Linked DNA regions of Daphnia pulex. The protein of the gene in region 1 binds, or shares a complex with, the protein of each later gene. Links are inferred from orthologs where the notes say so. Each region holds a gene or a part of one and is shown in the gene's direction. Other genes may lie near its edges.

Region 1 (8,940 bases):
AAAGTTAAACACAAACAGTTAGTTTACGATTCTTAGCTTAGAAAAAAAAAGCATATGTCGCATATATATGTGTGTATATATACCCAGTGTTCATCAGGAGAACATCGAAGTCGACGAAAAAACCAAAGAACAACAGAACATCAAGTAAATCGAACAGAAAACACATATGGAAAAATGATGTCAACCCTCCCCACAAGCTTTTAACCACATCAATGACTTAGATCACCTGGGCCACCATTCATCAACCAAGAGGGAATTTTTAAAGATATAGGGACCATTACTTCTAGGAAACACGCATTCACAACAATGATTCGATTCAGAAATGAGCAGAGCAAATCTCGTCTGAGAAATATCGATAGGCCTATATGTATGCTCGGTCGTTATCAACCAGAAATTATTTGCTTATTTTCTTTTGCGAGAACGTTGAAAGAGAGAAAAAAAAAACAATGAGAGAAAGATGGACAAACACAAATACAACGAATGCGTTATCTCCATTTTAACGCATCACTTTTTTTTTGGAAGAGTGGCCCGGCTACGACCTAAAAAAAAAACCAATGGCGCTACACCACTAACATTCGGTACTTGATGCATCAAATTTCCATCGCAACACAAAATTGTTATTAAAAAAAAATAAACAAAACGTAAAACAAATTTCTTTCCTCTCAACGTTCACCAGGCCGACAGACGAGAATCACTCAACTTTCAATCGTTTGCTGAATTCTTCCTGTTGTTTCTGTTTCCATTCTTTCTTGGCGTTCATACGTTTTAGTGCTCCATCCCTATCAAATTGGAATTCAAAAAGCGTTAAAATCGGCGATTTTTTCGAGGTGAAGTCTACGAAGACCAACTTACCAAGCTAGATCTACTAGGCCGCCCTGTTTTGCAATCACTGCTTTGACTCGATTGGCGAAATCAATTGCACTTTCTTCTGGTCGACGGTGCATGGGTGGTAGGTACCAAACGTCGCAGACCAAAGCCCAAGAGGACATCATCATGTAGAGATATTGAATCATCGAGTGGCGACTAGAATTCCAAAATGCGTCGGTAAACCTTGCGTCGTACTAAATCACAAATAAAATTATTATAATGGCAATCTCAATGGCAATCTCGTAACGAAGCAAATTACTTTAATTGCGACAGGATAAACAATACTGCCAACTTCAAAACTGCCCTTTTTGAACTGCATCACAGAAGTGTTGTTGATGCAGGTTCCCTCGGGAAAAATAAGAATAGGCAACTTATCAGGATCGTCAACGTGCTCTTTTAGTCTGAAAATATAATCAAAAGTCAGGATTTTCGAATAGGAACTCGATCTATAAATCCGGTATGCGGCAATCGATATTACCTTTTAGCAACAGTTTCACGATCTTTGACTTCGGAGCGTTCAAACCAAATGTGAGCAGAAGCGCGAGCCAAAGCTCGCTGAATAATGCCCAAAAATCCACCGTGACGCTGGCCAATCTTTAAAAAAATAATGAAAAGTAAATAAATATATAGATTTTTAAAAATTTTAAATCCAACATACCAGCGCATACGCATTGTCGCAGTGGAGAACCATTACGTCCACCGGAGTCGTGTGGTTCGCCACACAAATACCACACTTAGGTATATTCTCTCTATTGTGAAAAGTGACGACGGCTGATAACGCGCATGATAGAAAATTGAAGCACCATGTTGAAACCTTCAAAACCAAAACAAAACCAATAAGATATTAAAACAAGAAAGTATTGTAATGCAAACTCTTAAAGAAAAGATATGAATAAACGGAGCAAATGTTGATTCGAACTTTGTCCTATTCGAACCATCGGGAGTTCTACAGTTATCTACACGAGGTCAAATTCGATAACTGAACGGGGTAAAAAGAGAATTTGGAGTTTATACCTTCTCATAAATGGCTCTTTTCATGGGACCTTCATTTAGGAAGCCAACCAGTCCTGTGCACAAAGTTAACCAAATAACCTATAGAAAATCACATCAATCAAAGACAAATGAATAATTTCATTACAATTGCAATAATATAGTTAAAATAATACTAACAAAATAATTGACAAAGAACACATTTTGAAGTATACTTACAGCTAAAAAGCAAATTGTAACTCTGCTTGGTAGAAGAATGAAGTAGCGTACAAAGAAACCCAAAATCCAAGTAATAGTAAGGCGAACACTGATGAACTCATAGTGGCGGTTTGTGCGAGTAAGAAGATTCCAAGACTGGGAAGTACAAATTTAATGTTAGATACTGTGAACCAAATTGGTAGGTGAGATTTGAGTACCTTTAGTTCTTCAGCTACAAATCTTCCTGTAACTTCGTCCTCAATGATTGCTTCCACCCCCGCATGAACAAAGTCAAGGCAGTCAGATAGAATAAAATCATTATTCAAACTGTTAAATGATCTGTTTTTGGGGATGGAGGGTGTCTTTGGAGATGAGTTTCCATTAGGTAAAAGTACTAGATCTTCCTTGGACATTGCTGAAGATTTTATAATGGCATGTCCAGTTGATAATTTGTCCTCAGCTTGTTCCACTGCTTCCACAACATTTCCATTTGCATAGCCATTCTTTCCTTTATTGGTCTCTAGTTTCTTTTGCTGCTCAGCAATTTCTATCCTACCAGTTCCATACTAGTATAAAAAAGATTATGAGCATTACGAAAACTCAAATACTAAGAATAAGACATATTACCTGAAAGACCTTCAATAGTAGTTTAACATATCCTGATCGGAAATTCCTTGACCAGTTGCATGTCATCACTAGCACCAAGCAACCAATTACCAGGATAACAGGCATAAAAATTATACTAAGTACTAGCAAAAGAATTAAATTTTCGAGCCCCATTGTAATATTGTTGGTGGGAGCTCCAGTTCAAGAAGTTGCTGTCGTTGTCGAACACCAAGGCAACAGATGTCGGGACCACGTTAAAGGAAGTGGTGGAAGAGAGAGATTTCAAGGTTGACAAGAGAAATGCCGATTTGAGTTGTTGTGCGTGAGTGGAATTCGCGTAACGTAGTCTACTAAAAGACTGCTACGACAGACGTTTTGGGACTCTCGTTTATAATGGGACGTTCAGGCTACAACTGACTTCAAAAATACGTCTGTCTATTGGTTCTATGCGTTGCGCGTGCGACCTTGACGCGATTAATTATCTTTTTCTAGTCCTCCCATGCTTACCAGCACGATTTATCGGAATCACATAAAAGTTTACTTTGGAAGTCTCCACCCATCTGTTTTTTTTCCAATGCGTAATGAAAAATCTAGAAAATACAAAACCTGGGTGATATTTTCCTCCGTTCACGGAAGCTATTTCAAAACATGTTGGAATGCGGTTATTCAATATTTAATTACGAAATTTGTTACAAAAGTCTGTTGCTTGTTTACAATTACATAATCTGTGACAAAATTATATATTCGATGAATAATCAGTTCATGAAAAGAAGAATGTGAGAGGTAGGCAACCATGTGTCATTTAAAAGCAGATGACGTTTACATAATCAGGGCAGAGGTAAACAGTAAACATGGCGATCTCGACTGCGATTCACAAACTCAGAGATTCGTTTAATTCAGAAGAATCCGCGAATGAATCTATTCGCTGTATTAGTCAATGTAAGTTTTTATAATTATAACTGAAAGAAACATTTTTTCGTACTCCGCTCAAGTGTTCGAAATTAGAAAAAAAGAAGGAAAAACACGTGTCCATCATGAGCGCGCCAGATTTAAAACATATGTGTAGAAAATGTTTAATAATTTTAACAAGTTAACATCAATGACTTTGTTTAATTTTTCAGCAATTGCATCAAAAGAATTAACAATTCTCAAGCTAGTTGAAGATTTGCAACCAGATTTACTGAATCAACAAAATACTCACCGATGCAAAGCAGTGTCAACTATTGGCACAATCTTGGAACAGTTGGGGCCTGAATTGAAGGGACTAAATGAAAAGGAAGTAGAACTTGTAACAGAGTTCTTCTGTAGCAAGCTAAAAGATCATCATTCAATACTACCTGCCGCACTGCAAGGCCTCCATGCTTTGGTATGAAAAAAAATACTATTCAATACAAAAGTGTTAAATTTAATACCTTGTCATAGAGCACAGCACCTAAGCTTTCCCCTGGATTGGCCAGATTGATATCCCAGAGCATTTTTCAAGATGTTCATTGTCAATCACAATTGCAGCATGACAGAAGAGCAATTTACAAAACAGTGAAAAACCTCTTGGCTTTTCATCTAAAAGGTCTAAATTATAAATTTCTAAATATATATGCTGTGTTAGTATTTTCTAAATTTTATTTTTAAACTTACAGAATTACAAGACCTAGGCCAAGATTTTGTTTTTGGTCTCATCCAGTTAGCTGATCAAGAAAGAGACCCACGTAACTTGTTGATTCTCTTCAGTGTTTTCCCTGTAGTTGCTCGTTACTTCAGATTCGAGCCGTTTACAGAAGAGTTTTTCGAAGTTTTTAGTTGCTACTTCCCTATCGATTTCACCCCTGTAAGTCTCTTGAAATTTTCAGTTTATTGCTACATGTCAGTAAATCCTAATACTCTTATTTTGAATAGCCAGCTAATGATCCTTATGCAGTAACTAAAGAACAGCTCTGTGATGGATTACGACAGTGCCTTGCCGGTAGCCCTCATTTCGCAGAGTATTGTTTGCCGTTACTGCAAGAGAAATTGGAATCTGACTTGGTTTCAGCTAAAGTAGAAGCCTTAAAAACCTTGGTAATTTTCCCCTTCTATATTTAGTCTTTATGCTTCAATTCTATTGTAATTTTCGACTGTTTGCAGGAACTCTGCTGTCAGACGTATCAACCAGGCCAACTTGAAAAATGGGTGGACTCTTTCTGGACGAGTATACGTAGAGAAGTCTTGATCAATGTCAATACCGACGATCTTGAACATGCCTCACTTGATGCTCTTGCCGCTTTATCCCGAGCTTTTACAACAGACGGAGAATTTAACAGTCCAGCTTTTACCAAATTACTAAAAAATGTGCTGACCGGTAAATGTGTAGCAAATATTCGTTTAAGAGTATATTTAACTGTAGATTGTATATTAATAGAATGTCAGGGGCACTTGTGTGAACCGGAACGGCGATTAATGACTCCGAGCAGCTACATTTTGCTAGCGATATGCTCGGGAAGTGCGCCCGCGTGTGCATTAATTGTTAGCCAGGTATTATTCTTATTCTCTTATAGAACTACAAACATTTTTTTTAAAATCTACTTAACAGAAACCCATTTCTCTAAATAGGTCATTCCCCTTTTGATGGACCAGTACAGGATCAGGCCACAGTCAAATCCACGTCAGTTCATCCTTAATAGTTTGAACAAAATGGTACATGCTGGTCTCTATGGTTTCACTGAAGCAAACGGTACCACATTTTAAAAATTATTAAAATTAGAAACATTTTCATATCTTTGGTTATATTTTACAGTTGCTCAAAGTGGTGTAGCTTCTCTGATACCAAAATTGTTAGAGCTGTACCTTGAGGTCTTACAAGAGGATGACGCAGTTCTTCGCAATCTAAGTCTGCAAGGATTGAGCCATTTAATTGGCACCTGTTTGAACCACCAAGACTTGGAAAAGGTCAATGGAACACTTTTAGATTTACTCCAGAAATCAACAGCCACCGATAGCGTTATTGCAGAGATTGGTCATTTCTTTTGCAAAAGCGCAGAGAAGAATGAAAACTTGTTCCTTGAGCAAGTCTTGGTTAAGCTGTTAGATATAGCCGTCTCAGGTAATTTGAATTTTACCAATTAAAATACGGAAAGAGGTTATCTGTTGGTTGTTTAGGCAAAGCCAATGCGGTTTTTCTTGTGTTATCAACTCTACCGACGTTGTCCCAGATTCGTGCGCAGGTGGTATCCCGACTAATGACCGTGCTCGAACAACCCGAACTGGAATTACGACTTGAAGTACTCAAAGTTTTGACTCATTTCGCACAAAGGGACGAACTAGAAATATTCCAGCAATTGCACCGCTGGGGATTGAAAACATTGGAAGATGGAGATCCTCCGGCGTCACTCCAAGCCACTTGTGTTTTATTGAGAAATCTGGCTTCCAGTTTATCTTCCGCGTAATTCTATTAGATCAAAATGTTGGAAGAAATGTTTTTGTAATCTTCTCGGCATTGTACAGGAAAGCCACGGAATTCATCAACGAACAAACCGAACAATACGTAGGTCAACATCTTGCTCGTTCTCCGTGGACGTTGTCCATAATGGAAGCGACATTGGGATCATTGGATGCCACACCTAGCGGACACAGTCTTGAACGACTAGTTAACACACTAGAACCCATTACTGTTTGTCATCCAAAAGCCGACGTCAGACTGTCTGCCTGTCGGCTAATAGCCGCTCTGGTCAACAAACTTCCTGAAGGTAAAATTTATAGGATCTATTATAAAGTCAAAACCATCAACGTTAACCATTACCTGCTATGTTTAAGGGCATGAACTGGAAGCTATACTCGATTCGTTGCGGCGCAAATGGCAGGATCCATCTACAGACCGATGCAATTCTGTTTGCCTGTTTGTTTGGATAACTAAAGCTCTGCTGATGAGATCTTATTCCAAGCTTAATCAGTATATCCAAGAAGTATGCGATTGGATTACAGACGTAACAGCATGCGCCATGACCTGTATTAACGAATTACCTTTTTCTTTGCAGTTAGTTGATTCGTTGAACGATCCCACGCACGGGTACCTAGTGGCAGAAGGATTTAAAACGATTTTGTGTGAAACCGAGGAATGCCTGAATTTCAATTGTCATGCCAACATCAGGTTTTTTAACGTTTTCCATTTAGTTGTACGAACATTTCCTTATTGATTAAATTCTTAGGTTAATGTACCGACAGAGGTTTTTTCAAGAAGTTGTACCTCGCTTGTTGAAACTGTATCGAGAGTCCGAGTCGTGCAACAAAGCAGCTTGCTTCGCCGCCATCGCCAATCAACTAGCCTTCATTCCGGAGGGTGTTTTAATTGCCCACATAACCACACTCATCCCACTGCTGATCCAGTGTCTGAGCACAGACCAACCAGCTCAGCTAATTATTTCTACCATCAACGCGTTCATGGGTCTCATGTCCGACAATGTCAGTGCCATCGAAGAGTACATCAGCAGTCTCGTGCCCAGATTACTCACCCTTGCCAAAGACGGCATTAACATGGTAAGATCTACCTTTGTTCCTTCACGCTTGTAAATTTTATACTTACATTTTTATCATAATCTCCAGGACGTCCGTCGACTTGCCCTTCAATGTCTCTCTGAGCTCAGGAAGGCCCAATCGATTGTTTTACTCCCACTTCGGTCAGAGGTAAATTTTGGCTTTTCCATAATTTTGAACTTCAACTTCGTATTGTATAATAAATTTTAATAGGTCATCCTCCGTCTCGTCCCTTGTCTGTCCGACAAAAAGCGATTGGTCCGGCGTGAGGCAGCATTGGCAAGACAAAAGTGGATTATGTTGGGCCAGCCCGGCTGTAACTAACATCTCATTAGTGTGCCATAATTCATTCAAGAGCTTCAATTACACTGTTTTTCTAACAGAATTGTCAAGCATTAGAATAATATGTATTCTCTTCTTAACAATTCCGCGTGATGATGGTTTGTAAAAAGTGTCGAATCAAAGAGAAACTCCAATTATGTTTGAGGATCGTGCTCTTAAAAAAAATTCCGAGCAAAAGAAGCTGTTGTAGATGTCAAAAAGTGCCGTGGAAAGTTATAACATTTTGGCTAGGAAAGGATCAAACAGGATTAGAATACTGCTACAGTTTGTTGTTGTGAGGTCTTGTTTGCAGTGGCTGTCAGTAGTGCTCCGTGTCTATTGCGGCTTGTCGTCGAGAAAGTCGAAGGAAGCCTTGATGGTGTTGCCACTAAAAACGTCGACGGCTGAGGCGCGTATCTCCGTGTCGCCGAATTCCATCGTGACGCGGATTTCACGACGTGTTTTGACCGCGTAGGTGAAGCCCAGGTCGAGTGAGAGGGTAGCAAACAAACGGACACCAGGATCCGTAACAAACTGCATAAGTCGTTACTTGGTTAGTAACCAAGAACCATCCGAATGGTTCCGACTTTCGTTTGAATTTTGTTTTTTATCGAGGAGGGATTTTTGTTGTTTCAAACTGAACTGGGAAAAATGGAAATTTTAAAAAGGATTTATTACCTGGACGTCGTCATTATCGGCGCTGAAGACGTTGAGAACGATGCGCCGCTGGTGGCGTCTAGCCGGGCTGTAACTGCGTATGACACGCTCGCCCATGCTAACACTTTGATCGGCCATGACGAATTTATCGAATATGTCCTTGCAGTAGGCGATGCCATCTTTGATGACGCGTTTATCAATCGGGTGACGGCCCTGGATGAAACGGTTGAGGACGGCAACACCATAGGTCAAGCGCGAACGGCGTACTGTGATGGCGTGTGGGTTCACTCCGTATTGGACGGCTCCTTTCAGGATGGCAAGACTCACATCCTGGGGAAATAAATTTTAAAATTTGCGACTATTCAACTTGAAAAATATTTCGAACCTGGGGGATAATAACGGTGACGTGTTCTCCGAAATGTGTCCGGACAGCTTGTTGCAGAAGAGGTGATTCGGCAAAACCTCCAACCAAGAAGAGGTAATCAATTCCAATCAGGTCCGGATGGATTAAAACATCCTCAATGTGCTAAATCGTCAAATCAAAATTAGATGTGGCATCATTTATAATGGAAACGATCGATATACCTCGATGATAGCACGTAGAGTGGGTTGGAAAAGAGACTTCATAGCTTCCTGATCGAGACGAAGCATTCCTGAACGTGGGAAAAGGAAGAAATTCACTATGCATTCTATAGCAACAGATTTGAGTGTTTTAGTCACCTTGGGTGGACCAGCGGACGTGCGGATCTCCGTGTTTGCGGATGGCGAATTCCACTTCACGCCCACGATATTTGCGGA
Region 2 (7,832 bases), on another chromosome or scaffold:
GGAGCGCAAAAGCCGCTTTACGACATTTGGGGCGATACGGTCAACATGGCATCCCGGTTGGAGTACACTAGTAAATTGGGTGAAATTCAAGTAAACGAATAAGATGTTTAAAATACTTTCAATATAATAAAATTACACCGTAACCTGATTGGATTAGGTTACAGAAAAGACGGCCAAATTACTGGAAGCTGTTGGCATCCACTGTGAGAAGCGAGGCGAAACGTTCTTGAAAGGCAAAGGCCTCGTTATGACGTACTGGGTGCGTCCGGAGGAGTTAGATTCCTACGATTCTCTTCAAAATTCCTCGGCGCGATTAAGAGCTTCCTCATCGGTTTGAGCGACATGTTATTGACATCAACTTCGGCTCGCAGTTCACTAAGCCGCAAACCAATCGGCTGTCCGTTCTGATTGAAGAAGACAAAGGAGAACGTTCCAGTCAAAAAGGTAGATAATTGACTTGATATTCCTGTAATCACTCTAACCGTTCTGTATATTTGATAAATGTCTAGCTTTTGTCGTCTTGTTCTAGTGTGGGAGCTAATCTAATCTAGCTCTTACATCACCTCTTCTCAGGAAATTCGAGTTGTAAGAAGATGTCGATATTGTGTCACTGTCGAATGAAGACGTTAATTTAGATATTTATGATGAAGATTAAATGCACCTCTAAAAAAAATTCCCCTTTTTTAATTCTTTTTTTTTAACTCAACTGCCTCACCGGTAAAGTTCTAAGGCACTCAACTTCTTTATAGTGACATATTATACTGTCAAGTGTACATAAATTTTAAAAAAATTGAATGAATGATAACTGACGGCTGACCAATATATTATGTGAGGGAAAATCCAAATGAATACCACCTACATAGCAAGATCAAATTTTTAAGCCCAGATTAGAGAGAAACGGGTTGTTTCTAAATTTAAAACATAACTAAAATGGTAAAGATCATAGAGAACAAACAAGTGAGAGTGGGATAACAAGGGTCATTTTGTTTTCGTCTAAGCCGGGGACAGGTTGGGGACGATAAATTTTCCTATTAAAAAAAAATTTGAAAATTAATTTTGTTAACACTAGATGGCAATATTTATGGTTATCTGTTTATTACTTAGCAGACGCTTATTTCCTTCGATTTGAATTTGTGACATTTTTTAAAATTGTGTCACATGATTTGAAGTTTTCAAGTTTTAAAAAAAGCCACACTTTTAAAACTAACATTTTATAATAATTGCTAGACAAATTGCATGCTTGTCTCAAATGTTTAATTTATTATCGCCAGATCAAATAAGATAACTAAGAAATTACTAAACCTGTTTCGAAAATACTGCTGATAAACAACCGCGTAAATTCCCTTTGAAATACTTGGCGCTGAGCCAAGTCCTGTGCAGTTCGTTGTGGGAGCTCGTGGGATCGCCCAGTATGTCGGAGACGATAATGAATTTCTGGAACCTTTATCGTATTACGCTGGTATAGTCGCTGAAGAAGCCCGTGAAGAAGCCAAGTTTTTAACGGAAGTTTTTAAATCAAGAACGATACCTTGTGTTTTTCGACCAAGGCTACGTCAAGGTCAAGTATTGCATGTATACGCAGGTAAAATTTTCTCTAACAAAATTTCAAATTAAATATGCCATTATTGGTATTAATTTTTTGAAATATAGATCATGAGGTTACCCTCCGCAACCTGCGCCCTTTTACAAAAAAAAATGTGAAAGTCAAAGAACTCTATAATCCTTAGGCCCAATATCACATGGGAATTATTCGAAAAAAAATATATAGTCATGCGCTTAATGTAGGTCAGCGTCAGCTGTGTATAAAATCAGGGTCAACTTTTAAAAAACTCACCTTGGACAGAATCAGATGGACTATAGGTCCTACTTATGGCGGAGGTCCTTGAATTTTTCTTATCTTTTCAGATAAGATTTTACCGGATTTTACCCTATAAATATATGCGACTCATTTCTAGAAACTTCATTGCATTCGAGAGAAGCTATAGAGAATCTCCATCCAGTCCATCTATAGTTGTGAGCTATCGTCGTTGTCCTCACGTTCTCTTTTGAATTCGCTCCAAAATTCCAACAATTCAGTGCTGTTAAATTTGTCTCCAAAATAGTATTGAGCATGGCTTATTTGCAAAGTGTTCAAGATCTCTTTGTGCAAGCGATCGAAAACGACTCCACGACTCAACTAAGCGAAATATTCAAAAATTGCAGCAAGTTGGAAGTAATGACAAAGATATGGACACCGACACCCAGTAGCGAACAAGGTGAAACTCTTTTAATTTCGGCCATCAAGACAAAACGTTATAACGTGATTGACTTTTTGGTTAGAATATTGAGAGAATGTGTCAGTGACAAAGAGTGTAGATCTCTGTGCCTTTCTACCTTTTGTCAAATTCAAACCGACCAAATTTCCATCGTCGACGTAATGGAGTGTTTGATTGATCCTTGGCTGCTGGAACCACGTAGGGACGAACCCCTTTGGTTGGAATTTCTTTGGAATTGTATCAAGTCCAGCTCGATCCCTCGACAAGACAAAATCGATGCCTTGGAATTAATCGGTGCCACCTTTATCTTTATCCAAGTGAAAAGTCAATCCAAGGTAATGTGGGCACCCCATCACGGACTGCAGTGCTGGAAGGATGCCATGGCACTGCGTTACTCCACAGGCGAACGGGCCATCCCCAAAACACCTAACGTTTTCACCGATGAGGCTGCTAAGGCATTTGCCGATAATTCCGAAGTGCTAACCTTAGAAGAACTGGAACTAATGGAGCAAGAATCGTCCATTTACGGCTGTCCGCCAGCTTGGGGACTCGCCAGTTCTCATTGGCAATGTTATCTTCGAGTTCAGGCTCTTTTAGTGAACCAAAGAGTCGTCAGCCAAGTGAATAATGGGCCCTATTACTTCCATCTAATTAATTTGATTCGGTATGGCTGGGACTGCAACTCGTACCGAAAAGAACCCAGTCGTGCGTTCAACATTTGCTTGCTCATTATCGACCAGGCGAAATCGTTCAGCTCGACGGCATCTTCACCCAAATGTATTCACATTTTCGTCGAAACACTCGATCTGATGTCAAAGTGTTTCGAACGGATGCGAGAAGAGACCGCGGAGAGCCCAGAACGACGGGAATTGACTCCCGGTAATCTTCTGAAAGCTATTGGATGCTGCACCGTCATAGCCAATCTACTACCAGTTCCACTAATGAATGATAAGGATCACAATAGACTTCACAGAGTGAACATATGCGCCTACGATTTTGTTTCGCTGCTGTTCAAGAGTTTCCCCCGGTTAAACCAGGAAAAACACAAGCAACTTGAGGAATGCCTTTCTCAATTTATTCCCCTAGACGTTCACCGTGGATCGCACAGTCTTTTACATGCTGGAATTAATCGGTCCGTGTGGTTATACGAAAGCAATACCCAACGTTTGATTAAACTGTTCTTGAAAATGGGGGTCGATCCGAATGCCACGGATAGAAAAGGGAAAACTCCGCTTCATATTTTAGCCGAGAAATGGAACTGGACTCGATTCTCGACTTACTTGGACTCGGCCGACTTTCCTTCCGAGTCTCTGTCAAATGTTTTTCAATCACTAGTGGAAGCAGGTGGTCATCTCGACCAAGCCACACCAGAAGGCCATACAGTGATCGATTTTTTGGAAATTCAGCGAAAGAAACATTCCCTTCATGACTATTATTTTAATTCTTATCTGAACTCTCTGATCAATACCGTCTTGCCCCTGTCTTGTTACTGCGCTCAGTCCCTTCGTCAACACAAAATTCCACTTGGAAATCAACTTCCGCCTAGAGTGCATTCATTCATCCTTCGGCACAGCGCGCTTAAGCGCTGACTTCTGAATTTTCGCAATTTCTTTATTATTCAGTTCATGCCAATCTTTTTGTGTACCAGATGATTATTATATTTTTGTAAAATATAAATTCGTTTAGTGCACACATGAAAAGTACAGATTTCTACTTTGTTTCATTTCAAGTAACAAATGCGAACTCAAAGAGTCCAGTTAAAAAATCCGGAAATCTTGAATGATCTGCACTCGCACCAGTCAAAATCCCGCCAAAAGGTTTACCTATATTGTTGTACTTCAGTTCACTAGATGGCTCTTTTCATGTAAACAAAGTGACGTCTGATTAAAAAAAAGTGCAGTAGTTAACTCGTTCATCTGCTTCTTTCACTATTTTGGTTTGTCTTTTTCACTCTTGTACTTAATTGGAATTGTAGAAAGATAATTCAAACCACCATTTGCATAGCGTAAACTTGCATGTCCTATAAAGATTTAATTGGTTGCTGTACTTAATCAAAGTGTCGAAATGTTCCTCACGTCTTTTCTGAAAAAGATAAGTAGCAGTGAGAGCAAACCGCCTCCCGAAACAGTTAATAATGTGATATTAGAGAAGGCTGTAACCGTAAGTTCACCAGTGAACTTGCCAAGTTGGAAGGACAGATCAATTTGGACATCATCGTGCAGACAGGAACCAAATGTTCAGAATCAATGTCAAGAAATCAAAGAAATCATCACTGGTCTGTTTCGTCTTTATCATATTTCACCACAGGGTAAAACATTTATTGATTTTTATTTTAGACTTGCTGAGGACAATTAGAGACCCTGAAAAGCCCAACACGTTAGAAGACCTGTTGGTTATTACAGATGAATCTGTTCAAGTACAACCATTCGAGGAAAATGGTTACTTGGTTAGAATAGATTTCAATCCTACAGTTCCTCATTGTTCACTTGCAAGCCTTATTGGCCTCTGCCTGAGAGGCAAGATTCAGAAAAATGTGGTGGAAAGGATTAAATTGGACATAGTTATTGCAGAGGGGAAACACAGCACAGAAGAAGAGAGTAAGTCCTAATTCCATATTTAAATGTTCAAAAAAGCTTTCATTAAAATATTCTTTTACTTTATTCCCATCCAGTCAATAAACAAATCAACGACAAGGAAAGAGTCGCCGCCGCCTTAGAGAATCCCAACTTAAAAGAAATGGTCGATAGTTGCATAAGAGATGAAGAATAATAAGAATTTTGTTAAGAAAAAAAAATAAAAGACGATAAATTTCCTCAGAGTATTTTGTATTCCATTCCATGAGATCAACTCACAAGTATGAAAGGCACTGCAAAGGCACTGCAGAGACAATTTCATCGCACATATACACCCTGGATTGATTTTAGTAGAAGACTAGAAACAATTACCAAAAAGCTCCCTGGTATATATATAAATTTTGCAAGTGTTATCTCTGGTAAGAAGAAAAGCATAACCAAAAGCGACAAGCAAGTTTGTTTCGTGAAAGACTTGTAAACTTAAAAAAAGATCAAAATTTCTCAAAAACGAGACAAGTTAAGTGAAAAACAAAAGGGAAGTGGGGTTGGGAGGCAGTAAGTAATTTCAGGCGAGTCGAGGGACTTTTTAAACTTCGGACAGGACCGCAGGAGTGCTGGGAATAACATCCATAATCACTTTGACAGGGTCGTTGTTGTTTTCCTCGGGCTCGATCTTGGACGCAGGCTGCTGCTTCTCCAAGTCCGTGGCGGTGCATAGGGAACGAGTGCGGGGTGCTCGACGGCCGCTACCGCGTCGGACGGGCTTGTCTGGCTGCGCAAGGTGTTGATTCAGCAGCTTGATGACTTCCTCCACGTCAGCTTCATTCTTGCCTTTGATGTTCTCTTTGATGACCTCGACCACACCGTCATCTTTCTTGTCCTGCAAAAGAAATTTCAATTAGATTCTTCCGGTTAAGAATTGAAAAGAAGACAAACTCACCTTGAATGTTTCCGTAAGGCCTACATAGGTGATGCCCGACTCGACGAGCATATGGCGGAGGAATCCAGCTCGCCGACGAGGCTTGATACCTTGGCGAAACATGTCAGCGAATACCGGTCTCCATTGAGCCTCCTTGGTCAATTCTTCTTTGATTTTCTTGACTTGTTCGAGCAAATGATCGCAACTGATGAGGTTCTCCTTAAGTACCCCAGTGTTGATGCGGCCGCCATGCACCTTGCGAAGAATCTTGTGAAGTGCTTGAGCACGTTGAACAGCGCTCTCCAAAGGTGTGTCGACTCCAAGGTGGTGATCAGCCAAAGCTTTAAGGACCATGCGATGTTCGTCCTTCAAATCATGCACCTGTTTTCGATTGCAAGATAAGAATATCTAACCGATTCACGTGTTACGATATTTCAGTTATTACCTGTTGACGGAGCAGATCCCAGCCATTGACACATCCAAGCAAAATCTTGTTGACATCATCAAGAAGACGGTAACGTTCCAAAGCCTAAAACAGAGTGAAAGTTAGAAACGAGTCTGATAATATAAACTAAATGGCGACATACCTGGAATAGCTGAAGGATCTTGGAGTGACGTGGTTCAAAGAAGACTAGGACAATTTTCTTGTCGGGGAAATTATCTTTTTGGAGCTTGATGAGCCACGAGGCGAAATCATTGCAGGCGGCCACCTCGCTCTTGGACTTGAGCATTCTGTTGTTGCGGATCTCCTTGAGCATGCGGTAACGACCCGTGTCAACGATGCGAAGATTGTAGTTGCGAATTACGTTCAGCGGTAGCTTGCCATACGGCATGACGTACTCGTTGAAATCATGCCCTTCTGCTTTCTCTCCCTGCGCCATGTAGAATGATCCCAGGTTGACCATCTCGTCGATGAGGCGTCGACCAGTAACGGTGGCTTCCCACATAACCACAGCAATGCTGTCATCGTGTTCAGGCATTGGCTGGACTGGCTGAGTGGTGATCACAGCGGGGAGAGCATCACATTCCACCTTGGCCTCTGGAGTTGGTGGCTGAATCACCACCTCTATGATGGTCTCCTCGGTGGAAGATGAGGTCTGCTGTTCTTCACTGTTGTTGGTCATTTCTGTAATTTTATTCTGCAACACAAAACACTATCGATCAATCAAAAAGCATTCAAAAACAGTGTAGATGGTTAAAAACAAAATGTGAGCAAAGAGAATACGAAGGCAGTCTTCAAGAACAGTTCCCCCTTTTCTTTAACCAATGTGGTATTGAACAAAAAATCGTACTGGGCTACTGACTCAACAGATGGAAACAAATGCAAAGAGAGCAAAGAGAGAATCAATTGGCAAAACATGTGCTAGACCTTATTAAAGAAGGGGAAAATGTTCTTGAACATTGCCGAATAAATTGCTTAGATCTGAGGCGAGCTCTCAATGGCGACGAAGCACATGTGTACTGAGAGAGGAAAGAGGTTTGTGTGGAATCTTACCGAGCTCTTGTCTCGGACGCGGCCGGTGAATAAGTAACCGTTCTAGTCTTTCTCGAACCTCGAATTAAACGATTCCCAACCCTACCTCTTTTCTTTCATTCGCGCCTGTTGTATAATATGTCTACGGTGCCTAACAATGAGACGAATAAAAGGTATTGAACGAAGGCGAAATATTACCTGTGGCTGTGTCTTTCAGGATGAAATGATTGGAATTTTCACGGGAGGAATGGAGGTTCGTCTGCTCTTTCAGCCGATGGCGTAATCTGTCTGGGGCAGGGTGAGAAAAAAAAGAAAGAAAAAAGATCTAGAACAATGCAATTAATGAGAAAAACTCGTTTGATTAAATCAATCAAGGTTAATTGTCGAAATAAATATTCTCTAAATTTTTCGTCATTTTTGTAAATTTTGTTGATTAGCCTACATGGATTTTGTTTGAATATTTGTCAAATCAAGTCTTTCTCTGAATTCAAATTTTCAAACTATTAAAAATGTCGTAGTAAATATAATATATTTTTTTATTGACTCACACTGACTTTTTCAATCATCCTTTTTCGTACGATTGCACTTTAAATGCAATTAAAAATGGCAAG

Evidence for each region. Proteins that work in one complex are often made in the same cells at the same time.
Region 2: MMS19 nucleotide excision repair protein homolog (region 1) and cytosolic iron-sulfur assembly component 2A-like share a complex: the UniProt entries of both Homo sapiens proteins name them as parts of the CIA complex. The link is inferred for Daphnia pulex from reciprocal best matches to the Homo sapiens genes MMS19 and CIAO2A.

Annotation. Positions count from the first base shown.
Region 1 is NC_060026.1:4,196,238-4,205,177, forward strand, and holds MMS19 nucleotide excision repair protein homolog, read left to right. Parts: upstream 1-3,469; 5' UTR 3,470-3,512; coding exon 3,513-3,600; intron 3,601-3,782; coding exon 3,783-4,027; intron 4,028-4,083; coding exon 4,084-4,228; intron 4,229-4,298; coding exon 4,299-4,486; intron 4,487-4,554; coding exon 4,555-4,716; intron 4,717-4,782; coding exon 4,783-4,996; intron 4,997-5,056; coding exon 5,057-5,169; intron 5,170-5,247; coding exon 5,248-5,368; intron 5,369-5,431; coding exon 5,432-5,737; intron 5,738-5,793; coding exon 5,794-6,076; intron 6,077-6,138; coding exon 6,139-6,380; intron 6,381-6,447; coding exon 6,448-6,596; intron 6,597-6,668; coding exon 6,669-6,781; intron 6,782-6,839; coding exon 6,840-7,167; intron 7,168-7,233; coding exon 7,234-7,314; intron 7,315-7,377; coding exon 7,378-7,488; 3' UTR 7,489-7,549; downstream 7,550-8,940. Other genes in the region: glycerol-3-phosphate acyltransferase 3-like, read right to left, coding at 692-779, 853-1,061, 1,127-1,268, 1,346-1,461, 1,526-1,681, 1,882-1,959, 2,077-2,211, 2,274-2,621 and 1 more; heat shock 70 kDa protein 12A-like, read right to left, coding at 7,822-8,019, 8,164-8,472, 8,528-8,668, 8,728-8,795, 8,863-8,940. UniProt on the Homo sapiens protein: Key component of the cytosolic iron-sulfur protein assembly (CIA) complex, a multiprotein complex that mediates the incorporation of iron-sulfur cluster into apoproteins specifically involved in DNA metabolism and genomic integrity.
Region 2 is NC_060021.1:3,189,161-3,196,992, reverse strand, and holds cytosolic iron-sulfur assembly component 2A-like, read left to right. Parts: upstream 1-4,130; 5' UTR 4,131-4,319; coding exon 4,320-4,530; intron 4,531-4,591; coding exon 4,592-4,852; intron 4,853-4,926; coding exon 4,927-5,024; 3' UTR 5,025-5,341; downstream 5,342-7,832. Other genes in the region: adenylate cyclase type 2-like, read left to right, coding at 1-71; maternal protein exuperantia-like, read right to left, coding at 5,415-5,708, 5,769-6,128, 6,193-6,276, 6,335-6,901, 7,117-7,149. UniProt on the Homo sapiens protein: Component of the cytosolic iron-sulfur protein assembly (CIA) complex, a multiprotein complex that mediates the incorporation of iron-sulfur cluster into extramitochondrial Fe/S proteins.